2 linked regions of the Coturnix japonica genome follow. The protein of the gene in region 2 interacts with the protein of the main gene of each other region in a pairwise test. Links are inferred from orthologs where the notes say so. Each region holds a gene or a part of one and is shown on either strand. Other genes may lie near its edges.

Evidence for each region. The genes of interacting proteins can lie anywhere in the genome.
Region 1: the proteins of NFE2L2 (region 2) and MAFF interact in binary tests that used the Homo sapiens proteins (3 or more experiments, as listed by UniProt). The link is inferred for Coturnix japonica from reciprocal best matches to the Homo sapiens genes NFE2L2 and MAFF.

What each region holds. Positions count from the first base shown.
Region 1 is NC_029516.1:46,518,795-46,523,048, forward strand, and holds the start of MAFF (transcription factor MafF), read right to left. Parts: upstream 2,839-4,254; 5' UTR 2,663-2,838; intron 2,605-2,662; exon of another isoform or gene 2,375-2,604; intron 2,042-2,374; 5' UTR 2,024-2,041; coding exon 1,988-2,023; intron 1,608-1,987; coding exon 1,194-1,607; 3' UTR 1-1,193. Other genes in the region: PLA2G6 (85/88 kDa calcium-independent phospholipase A2), read left to right, coding at 3,189-3,373, 3,617-3,832, 3,982-4,162. UniProt on the Homo sapiens protein: Since they lack a putative transactivation domain, the small Mafs behave as transcriptional repressors when they dimerize among themselves.
Region 2 is NC_029522.1:14,074,734-14,078,378, forward strand, and holds the end of NFE2L2 (nuclear factor erythroid 2-related factor 2), read left to right. Parts: intron 1-1,254; coding exon 1,255-2,463; 3' UTR 2,464-3,601; downstream 3,602-3,645.

The sequences.
Region 1 (4,254 bases), on a different chromosome or scaffold from region 2:
TTTTGTTGGTTTTTTTTTTTTTTTTTTTGCTCTATATAAGATAAAATGTGATTTGCATATATAAAATATAAAGTACGGCTCTGTACCAACATCCTGGCTGTGCCGAGAGGTGGAATGGCAAAGAGGACGTGAAAATAACTTACGTTCGTGCAATAAATAAACCCAGGGGGAGCGGGGCCGAGGGGATGCTAACACAGTGCCCTTTGGGGGGCACCTCTCTGGGTAGGGACGGAGGCTGCAGCCAAGGGCGGCTGGCGTGACGATGCCCAGACCTCTGTGCTGGTGTCCAAGCTGGAGGAAAACCCAAGGGAGAAGCAGCTGCCTGCCAGGCAGCTCCCAGGAGTGGGATGCTCTGCCCTCCATACACCTCTGACTCCTCGCTCTCTGCAGCCTAAGCCCTGGAGCCAGCAGAGCACAGGGCTTGGCAGGGCCATCCCAGCAAAACAGCAGTTATCTGCACTCCAGCTGCCTTTGCTTCCTTCCTGCCTCTGCCTGTGTTCCAGGCACGTGGTTGGGCCGAGTGTCCCACTTAGGTCAAAGAGACGCATGAAGGATATCCGTGATGGGGAGAAAACAGCCCCTCCACATCTCCTTTTTGCCTCACAGCCCCCAGATGCCCCCTGCCCAAGGGTCCCCCTCCATCGCCGTCACAGCGCTATGCCATCCCGCTCACCCCAACCTGCAGCCACTTTCTGTTCCCCTCCGGACCTGCACATTCTCTTACCATCCTCCACTCCTTTTCACTGGGCCAGTGCTGACCCCATTCATCCTCATCCTTCTGCAAAACTCCCTCCCCAGTTCATTCTCTGGCACATGCTCCTGGGAGCGCCTGCCCTGCACTCAGCTCCCCCCAAAAATAGGGTGCACCGTGTTTTCCTGCCAGCTTGGAGCTGTGAGGTGTTTCCCTGCCTCCATCCATTCACACGGACTCATCCCCTCCTGCATGCACCCACTGATGCAGCAAGGGATGGGACCATGGGGCAATACCGGGCTTTGGGCTTCCCCCATGGGATCTCCAATAAGGTGCTGTCCACCCGGTACACACATGGTGGCAGTCCTCCCTACAAGCAGAGGTCTGGGGGACCAGAGGGAAGGATTTGGGGTGCAGCTCCCAGCAAAGGAGAGCCTCGAGTCGGTATGTAGGGGAAGGCGCCCTGGGGGGGACAGTGCCCAGCCGAGGGATGGGGCCAGCACTAGGAGTAGGCAGCCTGGTTGGCACCGGACTTGACGATGGTGATGACGCTGGCAGTGGCCACTTTGGCAGGGGGCCCATGGGCAGCCACAGTGCGGGCAAAGCCCTGCAGGGCCTCATACTTGCCACGGAGAGTATCAAGCTCCAGGCGCATGGCAGCATTCTCCCGGGCCAGCTTGTCCACCTCCCATTCCAGCTCCATCTTTTGCTTCTGTAGCTCTTCCTTCTGGCAGACACGCTTCACCCGGCAGCTGGCAGCGTAGCCCCGGTTCTTCAGCGTCCGTCGTCGCTGCTTCAGCCTCGCCACCTCCTCCTTGGAAAGGCCCCGCAGGTGATGGTTGAGCTCCCGCACCGACAGCCCCATCAACTCCTCATCCGACAGCAGCGGTGTGTTCTCTCCAAGCTCCCGCTTCACCTGTTGGGTGGAGGAGCAGGTGAGATCCCAATGCCAACCCCCAGTGCCAGACCTCCAAATACCAATCCCTAATGCCAATCCCCAGTTCTGGACCTCCCCAGCACCGATCCCCAGTGATGGACCCGCCCCCAATCCCCCATGCTACGGCTCCAGTGCAAGTTCCCCATTCTGGGGCTCCCTGAGGCTGGACCTCCCCAGTGTGATTCCCGCATGCTGCACCTCAAAGCCAGTCCCCTATACTGGAGTCCCTACTGCCAGCTTCCCATGCTGGACCTCCTCAATGCTTATCCCTCATGCTGGACTCCCGGTGCCATCCCCCTCCTGATGCCAGACCCTACTGCTCGGTCCCCCCCATAGCTCTTATTCTCCCCAGTACTCACCTTTAGCGCCTTGCTGGACAGCCCATCCGCAGCCATGGTTGTCCCGTACCGGCCCTACAAAACGCCCAAGAGCGGCTGAGTGCCAGCAAAGGAACACGGCGGGTGATGCCGATCCCCGCCCAGCTCCACCTCACTCTTTTATGCGAAGCCCATAATAATAGCACACAAACCACAACAACGTGGGAAGGCCCTCCCCGGAGACGCAGTGCCATGGGGCCGAGGGGAGCTCCCTCGGAGGAGGGCGGGGGGGGGGATATAGGGGCAGGGCCGGGGCTCGCGGTGGGGTCGAAGGGTGCGGGCCGCGGCCACGTCGCGGGCGAGCGGGCGCCGTCTCACCGTGATTCAGCAGCGCTGGGAGGGGAGGAGGAGGGGGCGAGAGCCACTTACCCCTTCTGCACCCCTCGACCGCCACTCTGCCGCTTTCTTGGGGCAGAGGTGAGGGCGGGAGAGGCCGATATTTTCTCCCCTCCGCCATTACGAGAGGAGAAGAGAGGGCGCAGGGCCCGAAGCGGCCCCAACTCCGGACCACCTTCCCCCGCCCTCTCCAAAGAGCCGGCGGGGGGCGAAGCACGGGAGGAGCCGAGCTGATGCAATCAGGGCCGGGGGTCAGACGCCATCCCCGAGCTCCCACCGACCGCCCCGCTCCGGAAACTCCCGACCCCGCCGTCCGCTTACCGGAGGCCGCGCCGTGTGTGCCGGCTGTGCCGTGTGTGCCGGCTGTGCCGAGTGCCGGCCGTGCCCCGTGCGGTGCTGTGGGGTGCGGCGATGCGATGCGCTCCCAGCCGAGCTCCGCGCGATTACTCACCCGCGGATTCCTTTCATTCATAAAAACACAGTCATGCGGTGACGTCACCCCCCATCGCCCCGCCCCTCCGCAGCCCGGCCCCGCCCCGCCCTCTCTCCGACCTTTTCAAAGATGGCGGCGCGCGGCTCAAACGTCAACAACCCGCCCACCCTTCATTGGGAGGGAGACCTATTAGCCCCTCCCCTTTGGCTCCTCCCCATTGGCTCCTCCCCGGGAGCGGCGCAGCTGATTGGTCCGGCCTGGGGGCAGTGAGGGTGGCGGGCCTTGGCGGGCCTCGGCTCCCCTGAGTCCCCGCGGGCGCTTCCCGTCAGGGTTGGCCGGTACAAAAGCGCAGCGCCGCCGTAGGCCCGCAGCGCTCCGTGCTTGTGTGAAGGCCGGGCCGTGCAGCCGCACGCCATGCAGTTCCTCGGGCGGCTCCTGAGCCAGGCGTTCGGCAGCCCGTACCGCGTGAAGGAGCTGCCCGCCGCCCAGTACTCGGGGCTGGGCCCCCTGCGGGAGGACGGCCGGCTGCGGCTCTACGGGAACGGCCGCGGCTGGGACGCCGTGCTGCTCAACCCGCAGAGCCCGGCCGTGGCCGTACGGTACGTGCTGGGCGCTGCGCTGACTGCGCGGCACTGAGCGAGGGCCCATGGAGCGGGGCTGCAGGGAACGGGCTGCACAGGGAGGTGGTGCAGGCACTGTCCATGGAGGTGTCCCAGAGCCGTGGGGATGTGGCACTGAGGGACGTGGGCAGTGGGCACGGTGGGGATGGGCTGATGTTGCACTGCATCATCATACAGGTCTTTTCTAGCCTTAATGATTCTGTGTTTACCTCTCCCCTCCAGGCTCTTCCACCTGGACGATGAAGCAGAAGCCCTGGTGCGCTTTGAGCACTATGCCGGCCACCTGCGGCCGTTCTATGAGAGCTCAGCCCAGCCCCTGTCGCTGGAGGTTCTGCAGCAGCTCAGTGACTGCATCCGCAACCATCCCAGCTGGTCCTCTGCACACATAGCAGTGGAGGTTGGCCTGCACGAGACCTTCCGACACAACCGTGTACTCAGGTGAGGGTGCAGAGCAATCTCCTGTGGGCCTGGCGTTGTTGGGGCTGTGTGTCAGGAGGAGGGTCCATTGTAGGGCTGTAGGTCTTTGCAGAGGTAGATCCTCATCTTTGCAGCCTCTCTACGCTGTAACGTTGTGTCTTCTGTTACAGCTGTGTGAATAGCACAGACAGTGAGGATGGTTGCACCCCGCTGCACCTGGCGTGCCATAAGGGAGACATGACCTGCCTGCAGGAGCTGCTGGAATGCCACGCACGAGTGGATATTACAGACAAGAAAGGAGAGACGGTTTTCCACTATGCTGTGCGAGGAAGCAACCCCTATATCATTGAGGTGGGAGCAATCCCAAAGCTGGGAAAAGGGGGATTGAAACTTTTCCTTCCTATGCTGTGAGAGGGGGGATGATAGCCAAGGGCTGCAGTCTG
Region 2 (3,645 bases):
TTGTACATTATAGAGGGCATCTAGTTGGTTTTTTTTTAATCTTCTCTTTCCTTTATCTAGTTTTGACTGTTTAAAAAGGGGGGAAACCCCAACAATAGTAGGAACCTTATATGGCCTGTAACTCTAATTTTTCCCCTATTATTTTTCTATATTTCAAAATTTTCTTCATTTTTCTTCATTTTTTTTCATTTTCTTAAACTTTACTACTTTGGCATGCCTAAAAGTCCCTACATAGGTAACAAGGAGGACTACCTTTGAAGAGGCAGCTGAAAAGATACTAAGAAACCAAGCCTAAATTGTCTGTTAATTCTGTATAGTGATTGAATAATCTTCTGATTGAGATAATTAAATTGAGGCTATTGTGATCTACAAAGTATGTTTGAAAGGGAATAAAAGAGCTCTCACATTCAAAGCCTTAGCTTAAGCTTTGTATGCTCTCTGGTTATATAGTCAGTGTGTGGACCCCCCTTAAGAGAAACAGAAACACTGCAGTAGTTGCTTAATTCTTTGGGGACAGCAGGAACACTTCAGCTTCAGTTAAGAAACTGCCACTTTTGGAAAGAATGTTGGTTTTGTAGCCAACGAAATCCGATCTATGTAATCATCTTAGACACTCACACTAATGTTAGCCAGCTTTCCTAGAAGCATGTGGGATGAGTTAACATTAATAAGGGTTCACACTTTTTTAATTTTTTACTTTCCAGAGAATTATATTTCTTTGCAATTCAGTGAATCCTAAAATTATCTTTGTCTTTCAAAGAAAAGAAATCATCACATAAAATTGAAGATGGCTAAAAATAGTTTGCTATGAGTTCTGAGTAAGCCTCATTCAGTAATCTTAAATTTACTGAAGTGGAGCATTACTAGCAGGGATGCTTGTGAGAAGTTCAGACCTGACAGCTCCAGAATCCCCGCTAGAATTTGGTAGAACAGGAGGGCAGTTTCCATATATCAGTGTGTTGGGATGGATCTCTTCTTTATCACCTTGCTATGAATTTGAGAGGCTTTGCTGTCGTATTCCAAATAGCTTTGTCCAGGATAAGTTGCTTCATACTCTGCTTAGATATCTGTTCTTTTTCCTAGATTGTCTCCCCATAGTGCAATTATGTTGTATTCATCTAGGTTACAGCAGTATTACAATACCCCATGTACTTGTTAATGACTAAAATTATTAATAGTTATGAATTCTATAAAAATATTTCATGATCAATTGGTCTTGTGTTGCTCAACCCCTCTCTTACGCTTCCCATGTAGTGTTTAAACATTGAAAATGACAACCTGGCTGAAGTGAGCACAATCACAAGCCCTGAAACCAAGCCAGCAGAGATGCACAACAGCTATAATTACTACAACTCATTACCCATCATGAGAAAAGATGTTAACTGTGGTCCAGATTTCCTGGAGAACATTGAGGGTCCTTTTTCCAGCATTTTGCAGCCAGAAGACAGCAGCCAGCTGAACGTCAACTCTTTAAATAACACATCAACTGTGAGCTCTGATTTCTGTGAGGATTTCTATACCAGTTTTATATGCGCAAAGGGGGACAGTGACACAGTAACGACAAACACTATCAGTCAATCACTTGCAGATATTTTAAGTGAACCTATTGATCTTTCTGATTTCCCGCTGTGGAGAGCTTTTAATGATGACTACTCAGGAACTGTACTAGAGTGTAATGATTCCGACTCTGGTATTTCACTGAATGCAAATTCTAGTATAGCATCACCTGAGAACTCTGTTGAATCATCTACCTGTGGAGATAAGACTTTGGGTTGTAGTGATTCTGAAATGGAAGACATGGACAGTTCTCCTGGAAGCGTGCCACAGAGCAATGCTAGTGTGTACTCATTGCGGTTCCCTGATCAGGTACTTCCTTCTGTGGAGCCAGGCACTCAAAAATCCAGCTTACAACGTATGAACACACCAAAGAAAGACCCTCCTGCCGGCCCAGGTCACCCTAAAGCTCCATTCACAAAAGATAAGCCTTCGGGCCGTCTTGAAGCTCATCTCACAAGAGATGAGCAAAGAGCAAAGGCTCTGCAGATCCCTTTTCCAGTGGAAAAAATCATCAATCTCCCTGTTGATGACTTTAACGAAATGATGTCTAAGGAGCAGTTCAGCGAAGCCCAGCTTGCACTTATTCGAGATATACGCAGGAGAGGCAAGAATAAAGTGGCTGCTCAAAACTGCAGAAAGAGAAAACTGGAAAATATAGTGGAACTGGAGCAAGATTTGAGTCACCTAAAAGATGAGAGGGAGAAATTGCTGAAAGAAAAAGGAGAGAATGACAAAAGCCTTCGTCAAATGAAAAAGCAATTAACCACCTTATATGTTGAGGTGTTCAGCATGCTGCGCGATGAAGATGGAAAGTCTTACTCTCCTAGTGAATACTCACTGCAGCAAACTAGAGATGGCAATATCTTCCTTGTTCCCAAAAGCAGGAAGGCAGAGACTAAACTTTGAACTGCTTGAAGAGCAGCACGGCTGGCTGGTGTTCTCCGAGTTACTATTTTTGTATCGTTAACCTAATAGCTTTTACTGTGAGGTGGAATGCAGAATTAGGTAATATTTTTCAAGTAATTCTATGCAATGATGATTTGAAAATTAATAGTAAAGTTTATGAAAGGTGCGAGTTCAAAACTAATAGTGTAATGCAGATGTATGTATGCAAATTTGTAATCTCACTTTTATAACAGGTATTTCCTTCTTTTAGCACCACTTCAACTAGTTTCCATACATGTGTAAATATTTAAAGATACCGTATTTATATACTGTTCTTATCTCCTGTTATATTCATAGATTTGATATATAAGAATAATTCTAGCCTCCTAAATGTAATTTCTTGCAATACGAACAGAATGGCTTCTTACTCTTTTGTAAAAGAAAAGAAATGCAATAGCGTTTGTTTCCGATTTTTCTTATGCATTTATAAATGCTTTATATTTAATATATGATTCTAATTTAGTGTCAAGTTGATACTCATTGTTTGATTTTTGATTCATCTTACCAGTTCATTAAACTTTTTATTATTATTATTATTATTATTTTTTACACCATAGGCATTTATTTCCCTGAAGTAGGTTATATGCTGATTCAGATACCCTCACTGGTTTTCCAAGGATAAGTCTTCATGCAACAAAATACACTTAACAAGCAGAGACATATCACACAGCATTATTAATGGTCACCATAATTTTAACTACCATTTGGAAGGATTGTGTGCCAAATTTGTTTCAGGCCTATACTATCTTAATATAATTTGTTTTGCTCTCAGAACACTATTGATAAGCTCATGATGAGATCTCCTCCAAAGGCATTAGAATCTGTTTAATTAAAAGCAGTGTCAGCATTACATATTTTTTCCAACTAATAAATTCTGTATACCTTTCACTAATTATTATTGGAATTCATTATGCATCTCTGACTGATCAGCAGCCATCTTTTGTCACTGCTGTTCTCTCTGAGGTGATGGAAAAAGATACCCCCATGGCCAAGCACTGCGCTCTGTGGAACCTGGGCTCCATTTGTTGAAAGAATGTTGTGACTTGTGAAGTTATAAGAGATGAAAAATTGGGCAAATAAATCACAGTGTTTCATTTATGCCTCCGCTGGACTCGTTGTATTTGATCATCATGGATCTTTTCA